3 linked regions of the Caenorhabditis elegans genome follow. The protein of the gene in region 2 purifies or fractionates together with the protein of the main gene of each other region. This does not show direct contact. Each region holds a gene or a part of one and is shown on either strand. Other genes may lie near its edges.

The links.
Region 1: the proteins of cytb-5.2 (region 2) and Y50D7A.10 fractionate together in Caenorhabditis elegans (co-fractionation; one large-scale study listed by BioGRID). This does not show direct contact.
Region 3: the proteins of cytb-5.2 (region 2) and clp-1 fractionate together in Caenorhabditis elegans (co-fractionation; one large-scale study listed by BioGRID). This does not show direct contact.

Annotation. Positions count from the first base shown.
Region 1 is NC_003281.10:313,640-321,502, reverse strand, and holds the start of Y50D7A.10 (ADF-H domain-containing protein), read right to left. Parts: upstream 6,044-7,863; 5' UTR 6,042-6,043; coding exon 5,942-6,041; intron 4,568-5,941; coding exon 4,385-4,567; intron 73-4,384; coding exon 1-72. Other genes in the region: Y50D7A.1 (F-box domain-containing protein), read right to left, coding at 7,390-7,555, 7,710-7,848.
Region 2 is NC_003279.8:6,739,292-6,742,391, reverse strand, and holds cytb-5.2 (Cytochrome b5 heme-binding domain-containing protein), read right to left. Parts: upstream 1,117-3,100; 5' UTR 1,105-1,116; coding exon 1,012-1,104; intron 961-1,011; coding exon 628-960; 3' UTR 516-627; downstream 1-515. Other genes in the region: W02D3.12 (Succinate dehydrogenase assembly factor 4, mitochondrial), read right to left, coding at 86-324, 373-403; dhod-1 (Dihydroorotate dehydrogenase (quinone), mitochondrial), read right to left, coding at 1,381-1,540, 2,004-2,078.
Region 3 is NC_003281.10:7,979,379-7,986,871, forward strand, and holds clp-1 (Calpain clp-1), read left to right. Parts: upstream 1-1,695; 5' UTR 1,696-1,790; coding exon 1,791-1,892; intron 1,893-1,986; coding exon 1,987-2,110; coding exon of another isoform or gene 2,111-2,226; exon of another isoform or gene 2,227-2,294; coding exon 2,295-2,432; intron 2,433-3,085; coding exon of another isoform or gene 3,086-3,160; intron 3,161-3,352; coding exon 3,353-3,481; intron 3,482-3,528; coding exon 3,529-3,971; intron 3,972-4,013; coding exon 4,014-4,172; intron 4,173-4,242; coding exon 4,243-4,505; intron 4,506-4,565; coding exon 4,566-4,697; intron 4,698-5,071; coding exon 5,072-5,541; intron 5,542-5,585; coding exon 5,586-5,691; intron 5,692-5,739; coding exon 5,740-5,797; intron 5,798-5,964; coding exon of another isoform or gene 5,965-5,973; intron 5,974-6,286; coding exon 6,287-6,376; intron 6,377-6,422; coding exon 6,423-6,541; intron 6,542-6,644; coding exon 6,645-6,654; 3' UTR 6,655-6,950; downstream 6,951-7,493. UniProt on the Caenorhabditis elegans protein: Calcium-regulated non-lysosomal thiol-protease which catalyzes limited proteolysis of substrates. Required for assembly and maintenance of integrin attachment complexes which are essential for maintenance of adult muscle.

The DNA of each region.
Region 1 (7,863 bases), on a different chromosome or scaffold from region 2:
TTGACACGTGGCATTCGTTGACGATGAAATTACGGCTCCCAGCGTACAGCATTTGGAGTTCCGGGCTGCTTCCTGTGAAAAAATCCTTTTTTTTTTGTTTTCCATTAGGTGGGTGGAGCCTAAACTGAGCAAGGAGAAAGGGGCGGAGCTAAGCAAACATTCTAAATTTTTGTTGAAACCCGTGAATTTTTTTTCACAAATGCACTGCAACTTTTTCCTCACGAGGGACGAGAAGTGGTTTCTAGGCCATGGCCGAGGGGCCGACAAGTTTCAGCGGCCATTTATCTTGCTTTGTTTTCCGCCTGTTTTCTTTCGTTTTTCATCGATTTTTTTCGTTTTTTCTTATTAAAACTGATAAATAAATATTTTTTGCAGATGCTAAAACAATTTCCAAGTGAAAAAATTATGTATTCAGTGGGCAAGCAGCGGTGAAAGTGGTCAATGTAAAATGATGGATTACGGGAATACAAAACCTAAACTTTTTCTGAAACATAATACATATGAAATTACCTGATTTTCATAACGAGACCGCTGAAAAAGTTTTGAGTTTTTCAAAATTCGACATTTTGTGCAAAAATCTCGACTTTTTCACTAAAAAATTTGAATTTTGAAAATCTCAAAACTTTTTCAGCGGTCTCGTTATGAAAATCAGGTACTTTTAGCATCCAAACAGCATATGTATCATGTTTGGGAAAAAGTTTGGATTTTGTATTCCCGTAATCCATCATATTGCATTGACCACTTTCACCGCTGCTTGCCCACTGAATACATAATTTTTTCACTTGGAAATTGTTTTAGCATCTGCAAAAAATATTTATTTATCAGTTTTATTAAGAAAAAACGAAAAAAATCAGTGAAAAACGAAAGAAAACAGGCGGAAAACAAAGCAAGATAAATGGCCGCTGAAACTTGTCGGCCCCTCGGCCATGGCCTAGAAACCACTTTTCCTCGTCCCTCGTGAGGAGAAAGTTGCAGTGAAATGTAAACTTTCAAGCAGAAAAGTGGGGATTTCTAAGATTTCCGGCAAAATCATCCCAGAAAAAATTGCATTCTCAAAGAAATTAGTCAAGAAAGAGGGGGCGGGGCCAAGTCCAGCAAGCCACGCCTTTTTTTCAATTTCAAAAAAATCGAAAATTCATCACGAAATTCTAAAATTTTGACAAAATTTTACATTTCCGTGAAATTTTTTTTGGATAAAATTGGCGAAACCCCGCCCCTTTCTTGGAAAATTCGATAAACATGTGCCTTCAATTAAGTGGACGGAGCCTAACATCACATTTCCTTTAAAAGTTCAAAAATTTAAGCTTCGAATCGTAAAATGCTGACATTTTCGACCACACAAAGTTTTAGAAAATGGGCAAAATCGGCATTTTTGAAAATTTGGCCAAGAAAGGGGCGGGGCTAAAAACAACAATTCGAATTTTTCATTAAAATCTGCAAAGTTTTTCAAAAATATAAAGTTCCAAAAGTAGAAAACTGTAGAATTTTGAGTTCTCCGGCAACAAAAACTCACGAAAAATAGGCGGAGTCTGTAAATTTGCCAAGAAAGGGGGGCGGGGCTAGGCAAAAATTTGAACTTCTAGTGAAAATGCGCAAAATTACTTCAAAAATGTACAGATCCAAGCAGAAAACTGTGGAATATTAAGTTTTCCGGCAGAAAATTCACCAAAAAGTAGGCAGAGGGCGCACATTCGAAAAATTTGCCCCCAAGAAAGGGGCGGGGTCTTACTCACATTCTGAATTTGTTCTGTCAGAAAATTCAAAATTCGCGCCAAACATTTTTTGGATTTTTTCAAAAGTGTTAAAATTCAAGGATTAATTTTTCCAAAACTACAGTACCCCTACAGTACCCCGACCATATCCCCCCACTAATCCCAAACCAATATCCCTTCAAAAGACGAAAAGACAATTTTTCCAAAACTACAGTAATCCTACCGTACCCCTACAGTACCCCGACCATATCCCTCCACTAACCCTAAACCAATATCCCTTCAAAAGACGAAAAGACAATTTTTCCAAAACTACAGTAATCCTTCCGTACCCCTACAGTACCCCGACCATATCCCTTCACTAACCCTAAACCAATATCCCTTCAAAAGACGAAAAGACAATTTTTCCAAAACTACAGTAATCTTACCGTACCCCTACAGTACCCCGACCATATCCCTCCACTAACCCCAAACCAATATCCCTTCAAAAGACGAAAAGACAATTTTTCCAAAACTACAGTACCCCTACAGTACCCCAACAGTACCCCGACCATATCCCACCACTAATCCCAAACCAATATCCCTTCAAAAGACGAAAAGACAATTTTTCCAAAACTACAGTAATCCTACCGTACCCCTACAGTACCCCGACCATATCCCTCCACTAACCCTAAACCAATATCCCTTCAAAAGACGAAAAGACAATTTTTCCAAAACTACAGTAATCCTTCCGTACCCCTACAGTACCCCGACCATATCCCTCCACTAACCCTAAACCAATATCCCTTCAAAAGACGAAAAGACAATTTTTCCAAAACTACAGTAATCCTACCGTACCCCTACAGTACCCCGACCATATCCCTCCACTAACCCTAAACCAATATCCCTTCAAAAGACGAAAAGACAATTTTTCCAAAACTACAGTAATCCTACCGTACCCCTACAGTACCCCGACCATATCCCTCCACTAACCCTAAACCAATATCCCTTCAAAAGACGAAAAGACAATTTTTCCAAAACTACAGTACCCCTACCGTACCCCTACAGTACCCCGACCATATCCCTCCACTAACCCCAAACCAATATCCCTTCAAAAGACGAAAAGACAATTTTTCCAAAACTACAGTAATCCTACCGTACCCCTACAGTACCCCGACCATATCCCTCCACTAACCCCAAACCAATATCCCTTCAAAAGACGAAAAGACAATTTTTCCAAAACTACAGTAATCCTACCGTACCCCTACAGTACCCCGACCATATCCCTTCACTAACCCCAAACCAATATCCCTTCAAAAGACGAAAAGACAATTTTTCCAAAACTACAGTACCCCTACAGTACCCCAACAGTACCCCGACCATATCCCACCACTAATCCCAAACCAATATCCCTTCAAAAGACGAAAAGACAATTTTTCCAAAACTACAGTAATCCTACCGTACCCCTACAGTACCCCGACCATATCCCTCCACTAACCCTAAACCAATATCCCTTCAAAAGACGAAAAGACAATTTTTCCAAAACTACAGTAATCCTTCCGTACCCCTACAGTACCCCGACCATATCCCTCCACTAACCCTAAACCAATATCCCTTCAAAAGACGAAAAGACAATTTTTCCAAAACTACAGTAATCCTACCGTACCCCTACAGTACCCCGACCATATCCCTCCACTAACCCTAAACCAATATCCCTTCAAAAGACGAAAAGACAATTTTTCCAAAACTACAGTAATCCTACCGTACCCCTACAGTACCCCGACCATATCCCTCCACTAACCCTAAACCAATATCCCTTCAAAAGACGAAAAGACAATTTTTCCAAAACTACAGTACCCCTACCGTACCCCTACAGTACCCCGACCATATCCCTCCACTAACCCCAAACCAATATCCCTTCAAAAGACGAAAAGACAATTTTTCCAAAACTACAGTAATCCTACCGTACCCCTACAGTACCCCGACCATATCCCTCCACTAACCCCAAACCAATATCCCTTCAAAAGACGAAAAGACAATTTTTCCAAAACTACAGTAATCCTACCGTACCCCTACAGTACCCCGACCATATCCCTTCACTAACCCCAAACCAATATCAGTTCAAAAGACGAAAAGACAATTCTTCTTCTGAGTCTCTCGGCGGAAAATTCATCTAAAACGTAGGCGGAGTTTGGATATTGTGGAAATATTTACCAAGAAAGGGGGCGGAGCTTACGCAAACTTTTAGTTTCTTGTGAAAGTACGCAAAATTGCTTGAAAACTGTGGAATTTTGAGTTTTCCGGCAAAAAATTCACCGAAAAAGCGGAATATGTAACACATTTTTAAATATTGGCCAAGAAATGGGCGGAGCTTACACAAATTTTGAATTCCTAGTGAAAATGCGCAAATTTTCTTCAAAAATGTAAAGTTTCAAGTAGAAAACTGTAGAATTTTGAGTTTTCCGGCATAAAAATCACCGAATGAGTACGAGGAGTCCGCACATTTGAAATATTTGCCAAGAAAGGGGCGGGGCTAGGCGATATTTGGTTTTTTTTCTAAAATGAGCAGATTTTGACCATTTTTCGTTTAAGTTTAGCTCTACAACTTCAGAATTTACCCGATTTTTCCGGCAAAACATAACATTTTTAGCGTTTTTCTCGAGATTTTTCGACAAATTTCGACAAAAAAATTTTACCATTTGGGCAATAATAAATCAGAAGCATTGGATATGAAATTCGTTCGTCCGAATGTTTTTTGCACCAACTGAGTAGAATAAACCGTGGTTGTTGACTTGGAAGCTCTTCTTTAAACTCTTCAATTGAGCAATCATTGAGCAGTTGCTCCGATTGAAGCTCATGCGATTCCCGGTCGATTTTCACTGAAAAATGGCAATTTTTTGGATTTTTACAACTGAAAAATTGGGAAAAACCGAAAATTTCAGCCCAGAAACTAATTTTCTCACTGCAACTTTTTCCTCACGAGGGACGAGGAAAAGTGGTTTCTAGGCCATGGCCGAGGGGCCGACAAGTTTCAGCGGCCATTTATTTTGCCTTGTTTTCCGCCTGTTTTCTTTCGTTTTTCACAGCTTTTTCCCGTTTTTTCTTATTAAAACTGATAAATAAATACTTTTTGCAGATGCTAAAACAATTTCCAAATAAAAAAAATTATGTATTCAGTGGGCAAGCAGCGGTGAAAGTGGTCAATGTAAAATGATGGATTACGGGAATACAAAACCTAAACTTTTTCTGAAACATAATACATATGCTGCTTAAATGCTGAAACTACCTGATTTTCATAACGAGACCGCTGAAAAAGTTTTGAAGGTTCCAAAATTCAACTTTTTTGGTGAAAAAGCCGAGATTTTCGCAAAAAAAGTTGAATTTCGGAAACCTCAAAACTTTTTCAGCGGTCTCGTTATGAAAATCAGGTAGTTTCAGCATCTAAGCAGCATATGTATCATGTTTCAGAAAAAGTTTAGGTTTTGTATTCCCGTAATCCATCATATTGCATTGACCACTTTCACCGCTGCTTGCCCACTGAATACATAAGTTTTTTACTTGGAAATTGTTTTAGCATCTGCAAAAAATATTTATTTATCAGTTTTATTAAGAAAAAACGAAAAAATCGATGAAAAACGAAAGAAAACAGGCGGAAAACAAAGCAAGATAAATGGCCGCTGAAACTTGTCGGCCCCTCGGCCATGGCCTAGAAACCACTTTTCCTCGTCCCTCGTGAGGAAAAAGTTGCAGTGTTTTTTTCGCAAAAATTTGCATTTTCAATGACTTATGCCAAGAAGTGGGTGGAGCCTCCGCAAGTGGGCGTGACCAAATTTTTTTGGAATTTTTTTTTTGGAATCTATATAAACCTGCATTTTTTCGGCAAGTTTTGAGAAAATTTTTGGTTTCTATTAAAGGGGCGGAGCCTGGGATAAAATGTGGGCGGAGCCTCCAAAAGTAGGCGGGGCTATGGTACTTTCCGATAAGTCTACCAGAATTTATTTTCTAAAACTCATAAAATTTGGCAGATTTCCATTAACGATGCGGAGTCTAGAGAAATGGGCGGTGCCTAGAAAAATAGGCGTGGCCTATTTTTAGAATTGCATTTGTCGCCATTAACTAGGCGTGGCCTTTTTAATCTTATTCTATATTCACGATTTTTAGCAAAAATTGACCCAGAAATAGGCGGCGCCTAGAGAAGTGGGCGTGGCTTAGTTTTCGAAAAATCTGCCATGAAATGGGCGTGGTGGACTTACAAATCAAAGCGTTCATCGTTGTACTCTTCGAGAATCGAAACTTCTTCAAATCCTCCTTCACTCCGTCTGGAATTGAGCATATTGTGAGCGATGACGTCATCTCTGCAAAGTGGGGGCGTGGTTAGGGAGGAAAGGGGCGGGGCTTATGATGAAAAATATTCAAATCGTTTTTGAAAAACGATTCTGGACGACATTAAGAAATTAAGAAAAATAGAGAGAGAGTAAATTTTTTTGAAAAAAAATCCAATAAAGGGGCGGAGCCACACCCAAGAAAGGGGCGTGGCTAGCTTATTATAAAATATCAAAAAATTTCAAAAAAGACAATGAGCAAAGGAATGTCAGAGAAATAAAATACAAAAAAGAAATTGTTGGTATAGAAAAAGAGGCGGAGCCTCATAGGATGGGGGCGGGGCCAAGAAATGGCGGCGGAGCTTATGCAATAAATATACATTACGAACAAAAATGTACAACAAGAAATATTAAAAAAGTTACCAAGCAAGGGTCGGAATCTGAACAATTGTCAAAAACAAAAAGGGGCGGAGTCTTACAAATTGCCACGAAAGGGGCGGAGCCTCGAAAAAGAAGGCGGGGCTTGACAAGTTATCGATTTTCTCGGGAAATTGAGCTAAAATTCCTTGGGAAATACGAATTTTAGGTGAAAATTGAAAAAAAAAAGCATTTTCCGACTAAAACTGCCAAGAATGGGGCGGAGTCAGACAAGTTGCCTCGAAAGGGGCGGAGTCTCGAAAAAAGAGAGCGGGGCTTAGGAAGTTATCGATTTTCTCGGGAAATTGAGCTAAAATTCCTTGGGAAATACGAATTTTAGGTGAAAATCAAATAATTATTCAGTTATCCGACTAAAAGTGCCAATAAAGGGGCGGGGTCTGGAAAATTGTCAAGAAAGGGGCGGGGCTTGGAAATTATTTTGTTTTTTTCGTAAAAATAAGCAAAAGTTGAAGTATTTTGAAAGTTCCCACAAAAAATGAGTGATCTACCCATTTCTGAAAAAAAATTGCCAAGAAAGGGGCGGAGCCTCGAAAAAGAAGGCGGGGCTTAACAATTTATCGATTTTATCGAGAAATTGAGCAAAAGTTTTTGGGAAATACGAATTTTAGGTGAAAATTGAAAAAAAAAAATGCATTTTCCGACTAAAACTGCCAAGAATGGGGCGGAGTCTGGAAAATTGCCAAAAAAGGGGAGGGGCTTAGAAAAAGAAGGCGGGGCTTAACAATTTATCGATTTTATCGGGAAATTGAGCAAAAGTTTTTGGGAAATACGAATTTTAGGTGAAAATTGAAAAAAAAAATGCATTTTCCGAATAAAACTGCCAAGAATAGGGCGGAGTCTGGAAATTTGCCAAGAAAGGGGCGGAGCCTAGAAAAAAAAGAGGCGGGGCTATAAAAGTGATTTTTCCGGAAAAATCGGTCAAATTAGTGGGCGGAGCGTCGTTATTTCTCGGCGATTGGCGTCAACAGAATAGTTTGTCCCATTTTTTCGAGTGTTCCTGGGTAGCGGACACGTCCCGAGTGCATGATGACGTCATGATGGGATCCGACGAGGAAATAACCGTCAGTATCTACAGGAGATGGGTACTGCTCAGCTTGTGGTGTCCAGCTGAAACAAAATTTCGGGTCAGAAAGGGGCGGAGCTTAAGGTGGGTTTTGAAAATTATTGAATTTTGAAGCTCAAAAAACTCGAAATTTTATAAAAAATTTAGCTAAAAATTTTTTTTTTTTTTCAAAAATAAATTTTCAAATTCCCGCCATACCGTAACTCGTCAAACTCTTCAAATTCCACGTGGCACGGTACTTCTGCCACGTAGACGGATAGACGTTTCAGTGCACTATTACGCATCGGAACTCGCGGAGCCAAATAGTCCATACGGCTTGTGTTGTAGTATTTTGAGTCTGAAATTTGCGGAG
Region 2 (3,100 bases):
TCACTCTATGTTTAAAACATTTATTTATTTGCACTACAAAACAATGATGATCTGACTTGACTTTAACAGCAATTAATAAAACATTTCAAAAATCTGAAACTCTTCCCTTCCTCTCCCAATCACCATATCGAGTTGGCTCTGGTCCAGCTGGTCCACCAACTTCTCCAGTTGACTTATTCACACCTCCCGGATGTTTCTTGAGGTGAGGATCTTCATATTGTTGTTCGTCTGCTTTATCAAGTGCTCCTTTCGGTGTCTTCTCAGCCATCACCTTCTCCTTCGCACTTTGTTTTGGTTTTATATCTGCGAATCGGCGGGAAGAATCTGAATCGTCAAGAAATTAGAAAATTGTTTTTTGTGTAAAATCCATACTCAAAATTGGACGAAGAATCTGACGAAGCATTTGATCTGAATATTTTTTTTAATTGTTTCAATAGGACTAATCTTGCGACTAAAGTTACATCGATATCTCCAAGGCTCCACCCATTTTTCCTTCAGTAACATATGAAAATATTGACAACAAATCTTTATCACATATATAAAAGTCCATAGAAACAAATGTTCTTTGATGCATTTCAAGAAAGTGGGCGCATAAGATCAAAAGAATAGGATAAGAGCTAAGGTAATTTAATTGAACATGCACTTGTACACGGCATAAATGACAAGTCCCATTGTAGTTGGAATCAGGAAGTTGGTCCATGTTGGTGAAGTCATAATTTCGGTGAAATCATTGAGGAGAGATGATGATTTTTCGTTTTTCGAAGGTTTCGCAGCCGCTGTCTCGACTTTTGGAACGTCTGATTCTGGCAATTGACCAATGAGATATTCATTGGCCATTTCAATAGCATCTTTTGAGTGCCCAACATCGAGGAATCCAACTGTAGCATCTTTACCGGCTAATTGAGTGATGACTTCTTCACCTCCTGGATGCTCATTCAAGAACTTTGTCACATCGTAGACCTGTAAGGAATGATTTCGATATTTAAATTTAAAAAATGAAAAAAAAATTACCTTTCCGGAGATGACAATCCAACACGATTGATCAGCATCTTCCCAGTTGTGCTTTGAGACCTCATCGAGAGAAATGACACGTAGCTCCGACATAATTGATGAACCCTGAAACAAAAAATGGTCTCTAAGTCGTTGAAAATTATTCAAAAGTGATATATTTCGGTTGAAAACCAGAAACTTTAGTATAAATTGAAAAAAAAAACATAAGGAAATCAAATAATTTATGCAGAAAATACTAAGAATTACCCTACAATCTCATGAAAAGGCACATTGAACATCGGAAGAAAATAATTCAATTATAAAACAATTTTGAAACACCCATGAAAATGAAGTCAACCTGAAAAAATAACAAAAATCTTGGGAATATAATTATTTCGTTTTTTCTCTGTGATCAGCTCCAATTGCTTCCGAAACATGCGAAAATCCATCTTTCCGTAAAAGTTCGACAAGTTCTCGTTTGATTTTTCCGATTACCGGAAATCCTTCATAGACGAACGCGGAATAGAGTTGGACCAGACTAGCACCGGCTCTGAAATTTTACATTTAGTTAAATAAATTGAAATTAATACTTTGATTGAATAACGGTGGACTATACGGCCTGTGGGAAAATCAATAAAACCATTCTTACCATATATTGTACTCAAATGGTCAAATATTATAATTCAATTTTTATTTTGAGTCAAAAGGCGTTGAAAACTGTGTTTTTACTTTTCGAAAAATCTATATCACTGTATCATGTTTAAACCTTTAAAATGTTGAAATATGCATATTTTACATAATTAGAACATAAAACTGGAGAATAACATTTTTTTGATCGTCGATTTCCAAAGAAAAATAGGGGAAAACCGATTTTTCACTGCTTTTTGAAACGAAACAAAAAATGTTTCAAATTTTTTTTGAAAAGTTTTATAATAATATTTGGTCATTTTAGCAAGATAGGAATGGTTTTTGATAATTTCCCCACTCGACCTCGAACTGGGAAGTTCACTTACCTAATCTTTTCATATGCATCTGCTCCACTGAACACTCCTCCACAGCCGATAATTGGAATTTGTCCGTTTGTGAGTCTGAAATTAAACTATCAATGCGAACAAAATTAAACCAATTTTTTTTGTTGAAAAATTATCGATTTGAAAAATGATGAAAACTTAACTTACCATATTTGCGCAGTAAAACGAATCAAACTAAATACGCCGCCTGGTTTTCCCAGTGTAACCGGGGTGACAAGTGGCCAAAGAAAACGAAATAACAAGGGGACATGCGGTAAAAATGATGACAATTGTCTATAGTCTAGCCAAGAAGGTTCAACGTTGTGATTTTTTGGTGTTTGGGTTCTTTGATTTATGTTAAAATTTCATAAAGGTTCTAGATTTTCGATTATACACACGCAAAATGGCCGAATTACATAAAGAGACTGCTCAAAAAACAAATTAAAAATTGAACAATTTAATTTTAGCTACAATCTCAAATTTGCTAACTTCACCAAGTCACAGCTTCGGGAGATTATTTGTTCTCAAATTACTAGCTGATTTTGCTCGTTCTAGCTAATTATTAAGTTGTTTTTTGTTGATTTAAATTACTTATACATTTTTTTTCAAACGGGAACCAAACTCGGTTAATTATGTACTGGAAATATAACTAAAGCCACACGGAAAAAATGGAAAATTATCTAATTTCAGTTTTCTCTTCGAAATTTTTGAACGAAACAATGTTCTGATATTTATATCGTATTTGAGTACACGGCGTGTAAATTGGTACCTCTGGCCTAGAAAAAAGCTTGAAAAACAAATGTACGCAATTATGAAAATGCGGTTGGTGTTTGCGGACTTGACTACCATAGTCCACATAAATTTTAGCAATTAATACTTCCCGGTTTCGTTTTATATGAAAATATCCTTGAACTCAAGCAAAAAATGCATTATCTTTTTGGAAAAGAATAAAAGAAACACTAAAATTACATTAAATTCAAATACAAAAAAATATGAACTACGCAGAAAACGAAACAAGGCAGTTTGAAGCTGCATTAAAGAACAGCGCTTTTCAGTGTAAACTTGTGACGGTGGGTATACATTTTATGTACTTAAATTGT
Region 3 (7,493 bases), on a different chromosome or scaffold from region 2:
GACAAAAATTAACAAATAAAATGAATATTTTAGGAGCCAAATAAAAAAAATTAAACAAAAAAGAACAGTCCTCATTTGGATTTAGATTTCTGTAATTGTAAGTCGTAAATCCGCAACATCTAGATAATCGTCAAATGGGGCTCAGACAGCTCAAACCCTGGCTTTTTGAATGATTGGCAACCAACGTTGGTGAAATTTTCTCATTTTTAAATCGCTCACCACTTCTTTATTCTAAAGAGTTCTCTGGTCACTCACCTATAAATCCAAAAAAAAGTGCTTCGATACACAAAATTTTATTCTCTTTTCAAAGAAAAAGGGACCTTTTCCTCTATGCTATCGATCACCTGCGAATAGAACCTAACGGAAAACAAAAACAAAAAGAGCAACTGAGCCCCGGAGCCTCACCAAAACCAATTATCAACGGCGCGGAACATCTTTTCCCCTCTATTTCTGCCATCACATTCCGTTTCGAGAAAAAAAAGAGCAACTTTTTCCTGCTCTGAGCCATAGGGTGCTCCTTTATTTCCGGTTGGTCCCTCTAGCTCTCCATTTCTCAAAACGAGCTGCTTGTTGCTCCCTTTTTGAGCTCATTCTGTGCTCGTTTCTCGAGGAGAATTGCCCGGTGCAATGAATGTATTCAATTGTTGTCTTGTTGGTGAGTCAAATTTGTATGAAAAAAAATTCAAGAAATGTATTGTATTGTTGTCTACGTGTGATCCAGAGTATCTTCAGAAGGTGTGGTTTTTTTTCTGAACTCTAAATTAAAAAAAAAACACATTTTCGGCCTGCTCCTGACACTGAGTTGACATGTCCTTCGCTTAGACTCATGGGAATGTAGAATTGGTTTCAAAAGCAAAACACGCAAACTCTGGTCCCCCGCAGCTTTTACATCGATTTCCAAATGTTTTTTGTTCGTTTTCTCGGTTTCAAAAGACAATTTTATCCGTATCAAAAGGTCATACAGGGAAATTTCGGAACAAAATTGAAAGAAAAATCCTTGAATAATTGAAAATCATGTTCAAAAATTACGATTTGCTTAGTTTTATCTGATTTTCTGAGCATATTCTATATTTCGAAACCCATTGAATGTGGCAATTGTTTTTTTGGTGTGTTGTGCCTCACTCCAATACCAATTTCCGTGACGATTAAATTGAAAACAAGACCGAAAAACCAAAAGAGAAACAAAAAAATAAAATCTAGTTTTTTTTTCTCCCCCTGTCACATTGAATTTATATTTTTATCCGTTTCCAATTAGGTTCATCCGTTTTGTTTGCCATCGATAGCTAATTGATGACAATCAAATAAATTAATAGATAAAGTTTCTATTTCCATTAACTCAAATTTCCTTTATTCTGTCAACTAAATTTATGTTGTTTCGTGCTCAGAAAATATGAGAAAAAAAACAGAAAAATGCATGCACAAAAAAGTTGACGCTAATCTTTGTCTCCCCAACTCCGAAGGCTCAAAGAGCACGCAAAGGGCTTATCGATTTTAAGAATTACACATTCCTTAAAAAAAGCTCTAACTCTAAAAATTATTTTATGTTTCCATTCTCAATTGCTGTATCCCCAAGAAGAGGTAAAAATTTGTTTTTTTTTTCTCTATGTTGTGAGCCTGATTGCTCTGCTTCTTCTGACTTTTTCGTTGAACAAAAATCAAATTTTATTTCAAATTCATAGATATTCTGTTTTGCAGACCCCGAAAATCGTGCGGCAGGCTCAAACGAGGAGGAAAACTATCAAAAAAAGACAACAACCGACGGTTTCACAGCAAAAGCCGACGGAATCAAAATGGCTGACGATGAGGAAGAAATTATTCAAAAAGTCGAAGTGAAGCCGGATGAATTCAATGGATTAATTGGATCAATTGCTGGTAACCTGATTAGAGATAAGGTTAGTTTAATTTTTGGTTAGAATATTTTTTTTTTAAATTTGCTACATAGACATGTTGAAATTTAATTGCAACCTAAAACTAATTATCTCACAGGTCGGTGGCGCCGGTGGTGATATCCTTGGAGGCCTTGCCAGTAACTTCTTCGGAGGTGGAGGCGGCGGAGGAGGCGGCGGCGGAGGCGGAGGTTTCGGTGGTGGAAATGGAGGATTCGGTGGAGGTATTTTTATTTTCAAAATTGTCAGACAAAAATTCCCTAAAAATTCAAGTTCCTTTTTTTGTGTTAGAAAACATTTAGATTCACTCAAAACATCACCGTGTGGCTTAGATCAGTGAATTTTTTCTCACACCTTATATGTTGTCCATGTTATCGTAATCCCATTTGCTGCTACAGTAATCCATAGGTTCGAACTACGATCAAGGCGGGAATGGGAACAGCGGAGATCAACAAAAAAGGAAACGAGACATGGCGAAAGACTTGATTGGAGGAATATTCGATAATGTGGTGAATAGGAAAGGAAAGAAGGAGCAGGATAACTATGGTAGCGTTTGTGTTTTTTTTATTTGCTGTTTTGTGCTTTCTATAGATTTGATTATATAATTAGCTTAATCATTTTCTCAAATTTTCTGAACATGGTCTGTAATTTATTATCCTCGGTTTTTTTTCTAGTTTTTCATTCTTGGACGTCTGGGAATGTGAAGCTTCTTTGTCTTTTGTTCCGTAATTGTTCACCAATCTTCAAGCTTTTTTCTTGAAAATAGCGCAATTCCACGCTCATAGCACAAATTCATCAACTTATGTTAAAAATCAGGTGGAGGTCGACAACAGCCGCCACCAAATAACAATTTTGGTGGTGGAGGTGGATCTGGCGGTGGCGGAGGGTTCGGAGACATTCTTGGGGGACTTTTGAGCGGCGGAGGTGGCGGCGGTGGACAAAGAGGCGGCGGAGGGCAAAATTACGGTCTGAGAGTTTGAAAATACAATAAGTTAAGCTTCTACGCACTCACCAACACTCACTTAAATACTAACAACACCACTCATTTCCAAAATTTGATTTGAAAAATATGGCTATTTTGAAAGAAGCTTTAGACTTTTAAATTCTCCTGTTAATTCGCTTTTGACTGATGATTCGTGATTTTCCTTTAAAAATGCAATATTTTGCATGTTTGCTGTGATATTTCGTGTGAAATTTAGGCGGAGGCGGCAGTGGCGGTGGCGGTGGTGGAAACAACATCGGAAGCTTGGTCGGATCACTTATTGGTGGTGGTGGTATGCATTAGGATTGTAGTGTGCATGTAGTATCATAAATGTTGTGTTAATATTTTAATAGTTAATAGAGCTGATGATCAGAACATTTATAGATCTTATTGACACTTATTTATCACATCTAATTGTATTTCATTTCTGAACTATCTACACAAATGTGGCACCCATGAAATTCAAGCTAGAGTAATATTTTAGGCGGAGGTGGTAACTACGGCGGTGGTGGTGGAAATCAAGGAGGCGGCGGAGGCGGTGGCTTTAACTTCAATGATATCGGTGGACTCATCAACAGTATGGGAGGTGGTGGTGGTGGTGGCCAGAGACAAGGTATAGAACATTTATTAATATACTTTGAATAATTTGAAAAATTTTAGGCGGTGGTGGAGGAGGCTTCGGAGATATCCTCGGAGGAATCGGATCTCTCATTGGCGGAGGAGGCGGTGGCCAGTACAATGGTGGAGGTGGAAATGTGAACCCGAATAATCTCAACGGTGGAATGGTGAATGTTATCGGAAATCTCATTGGAGAAGCTGCTCACAGATTCCTCGGCGTTGATCCGGGTACAGGCAGAATCATTGGAGCTGTCGCTGGAAATGTGATTATGGGACTTGGTGGAAAAGATAATTCTCTTGGAAATATCGGAAAAGTTATTCTGGACAATATTATTTCTGGAAAGTTCCGTAGGGATGTTGATCCATTCGTTCGTCCAGGACCAGATCCAGATAGAGGAGGTGGTGGAAGTGGTCCAAGCCCTATTTCACCAAGACCAACTACCGAACCACAAGACTTCTATGAGCTCAGAGATCAATGTCTTGAGGTGAGTGTTCAAAACATATCATTTTTAAAATAATAAATTCAGAGCAAACGACTATTCGAGGATCCACAATTCTTGGCCAATGATAGTTCGTTATTCTTCTCGAAACGTCCACCAAAACGTGTAGAATGGCTTCGTCCTGGAGAAATCACAAGAGAGCCACAACTGATTACAGAGGGTCACTCGAGATTTGATGTTATTCAGGTTAGCTCTTGGATTATTTTCAGAATTTTTAATATTTGAAATGTACTATTAAAATTATATATTCTTTCAGGGAGAACTCGGAGATTGTTGGCTCTTGGCTGCTGCAGCCAATTTAACTCTCAAGGATGAGCTCTTCTATCGTGTGGTTCCACCAGATCAATCTTTCACTGAAAACTACGCTGGAATCTTCCATTTCCAATTCTGGCAGTACGGAAAATGGGTGGATGTTGTTATTGACGACAGATTACCAACGAGTAACGGCGAGCTTCTCTATATGCATTCTGCTAGTAATAATGAGTTCTGGAGTGCACTTTTAGAGAAGGCATATGCAAAGTAAGTTCGGACTTTTGACCGACATTTATGAAGGAATAAACTAGTTAATTAATTTTCAAGATTGTTCGGATCATACGAGGCTCTCAAGGGAGGTACCACATCTGAAGCACTTGAGGACATGACTGGAGGACTCACCGAGTTTATCGACCTCAAAAACCCACCAAGAAACTTGATGCAAATGATGATGAGAGGGTAGGGATTAAAGTCTAATTTACATTATTATCCAAAAACGAGTTGTGCCAAACTACAGTACCCGGTCTCGACGCGACAATTTTTGTTAATTATGAATGTCTGTGCGCCTTTAATGAGTACTGTAGTTTCAAACTTTCGTTGATGCCGAATTTTCATTGATTTTGCATAGTTTTTTGTTAGAAACAGAAATAAAACAATTAAGAACACACAAACTATGAAAAATCGATAAAAAATTCCACAAAAATAAAATCTTGAAAGTAAAGTACTCTTTAAAAGTGATCCCCTATTTATATTCGACAAAAAGTTGTCGTGTCGAGACCGATTACCGTATTTTTTGCGCAAATTTTAGCGTCCATGTATTAACAAAATTTCAGATTCGAGATGGGATCCCTATTCGGTTGCTCCATCGAAGCCGATCCAAATGTTTGGGAAGCAAAAATGTCGAATGGTTTAGTGAAAGGACACGCCTATTCAATTACCGGATGCCGAATTGTTGACGGACCAAATGGACAAACTTGCATTCTTCGAATCCGTAATCCATGGGGAAATGAACAGGAATGGAATGGACCATGGTCAGACAATTCACGCGAATGGCGAAGTGTTCCAGATTCTGTAAAACAAGATATGGGACTGAAATTCGATCATGATGGAGAGTTTTGGATGTCATTTGATGATTTTATGAGGAATTTCGAGAAAATGGAAATTTGCAATCTTGGACCAGATGTTATGGATGAAGTCTATCAAATGACTGGTGTCAAGGCCGCTGGAATGGTTTGGGCTGCAAATACTCATGATGGTGCATGGGTTAGAAATCAAACAGCTGGAGGATGCAGGAATTACATCAGTAAGTAAATATTCATCTACAAATATTTTCAATTTTCAATTCAGACACTTTCGCCAACAATCCACAATTCCGAGTTCAACTTACCGATTCGGATCCTGATGATGATGATGAACTCTGCACTGTAATATTCGCCGTTTTGCAAAAATACAGGTAGCGCCACCAGATAGGGAAATCATTTTTATTTTTCCAATTTTTAAGACGTAATCTGAAACAAGATGGACTTGACAACGTGCCAATTGGATTTGCTGTCTATGACGTGAGACTATTGTTATTTTGAAGAAAAAACAGGATTTGGCCTGAAATTTACGACAATTCTAGAAAACCTCAACTTTAAATAGAATAGTTGGAACATTTGAAAACTTAACTTTCCCCTAAAACTACTAAAAAATTTTTAAACCTTTTAAATACGCTAAAAATTTACAGATGAACAATGTAAGTTGGCTAATTGAAAATCTTGTGAAACCGGTAAAATTGTCCAAATCACGTCGTTTCTAGTTCAAAATAACCCACATTCAGTGAACCTCACCCACTTTGTTTAGTGTGTATTGTTTTATTGTTGAAGTACACGTGCTGATTTTTTGACATTATCTAACCAATATTTATGTTTTGTTGTTTACTATTGGATGTGTGAAACGTATCAAATAACAGAAAAATGCAGTCATTTGAAAGAAAATTGTATTTTCTGTCTCTGTGTTCGTCCGAACCAAAGATTTTTTCAAGCTTTATAAAATTACATACTATTCAGGCCGGAAATAACCGTGGTCGACTGAGTAAACAGTTCTTCGCTGCCAACAAATCCGCGATGAGATCGGCCGCTTTCATCAATTTAAGAGAGGTAATTTTCTATCTTCAAAATTAAATTTTAAAAACCAAATTTTCAGATGACTGGCCGCTTCCGTGTACCCCCGGGCAACTATGTTGTCGTTCCATCAACATTTGAACCAAACGAGGAAGCCGAGTTCATGCTCCGTGTCTACACGAATGGATTTATCGAGTCGGAGTGAGTAGTGAATATCAAGATTTTGTACTTTGTTTTGATTTAACAGAATATATAAGCTGAGCTTCTGCAGGTACTAATAATTCATTGATTCAATATTTTCCAGGGAACTGTAAGCCATTCTACTCACAACTACAACAACAAATAGCAAGATTGGATCTTCCTATACCTATTGTTTTGATCCACTTCGTTATGTATAAATCTCTCTGTCACTCGTTCTATTTTCATCATTAACCCCCCTACCCTCTCTCTCTTTCCTCAATCGTCCCTCTTTTCTCCACTCTTTCTGCCTAATTTCCCGTCGATGTTTGCCGGATCTGCTCTGTAGAATTGTAATATTTTGATATGCTTGTTGTTTCACTGTATTCTTTTTTTTTGCCTTTTCCAGAGTAAATAAATTTTCTAGTTCTGATGAAAGATATCCAAAATTTCCGTCTTTTCAAAAATCAAGCCTGTCAAAAGATTAAGCATACGAAGTATTTTTAAATGAACAAAATTATCTTATATTCTTCAACACTTAAAAAATATTCACAGATTTCATTAGTATTGACTCTGTCGCTACGAATAATACCACATACACTAAACCATTTCTGATCTAGCTTTAAAAATTTCTCTTTTTTTAAAAATCAATTAGGAAAGATAAAAATATATTTACCTCGAGTAGTGGGAGAAACTGTAAAAAATCACGTTTTACGGTGAAGTAATAATACTTTTTTTTAGCAGCTTCGAACAAAAGTCTTTTTTCCAGCCCAATTTTGCATAAAATTTGTTTTTATTAAAATGAGAAAAAATTCATTTCTTTAATCGATTTCCAAAGCTTCGACATTACCGTAATCTTTAAAGGCGCACATTCTATTCTGCAGTAATCGTATCCTTCGTGTCGAGACCGGTCGGTACCGTATACTTTGGACTCACTAACTTTTTTTAATTTTTGGGTTCAATTTCATCGAAAATT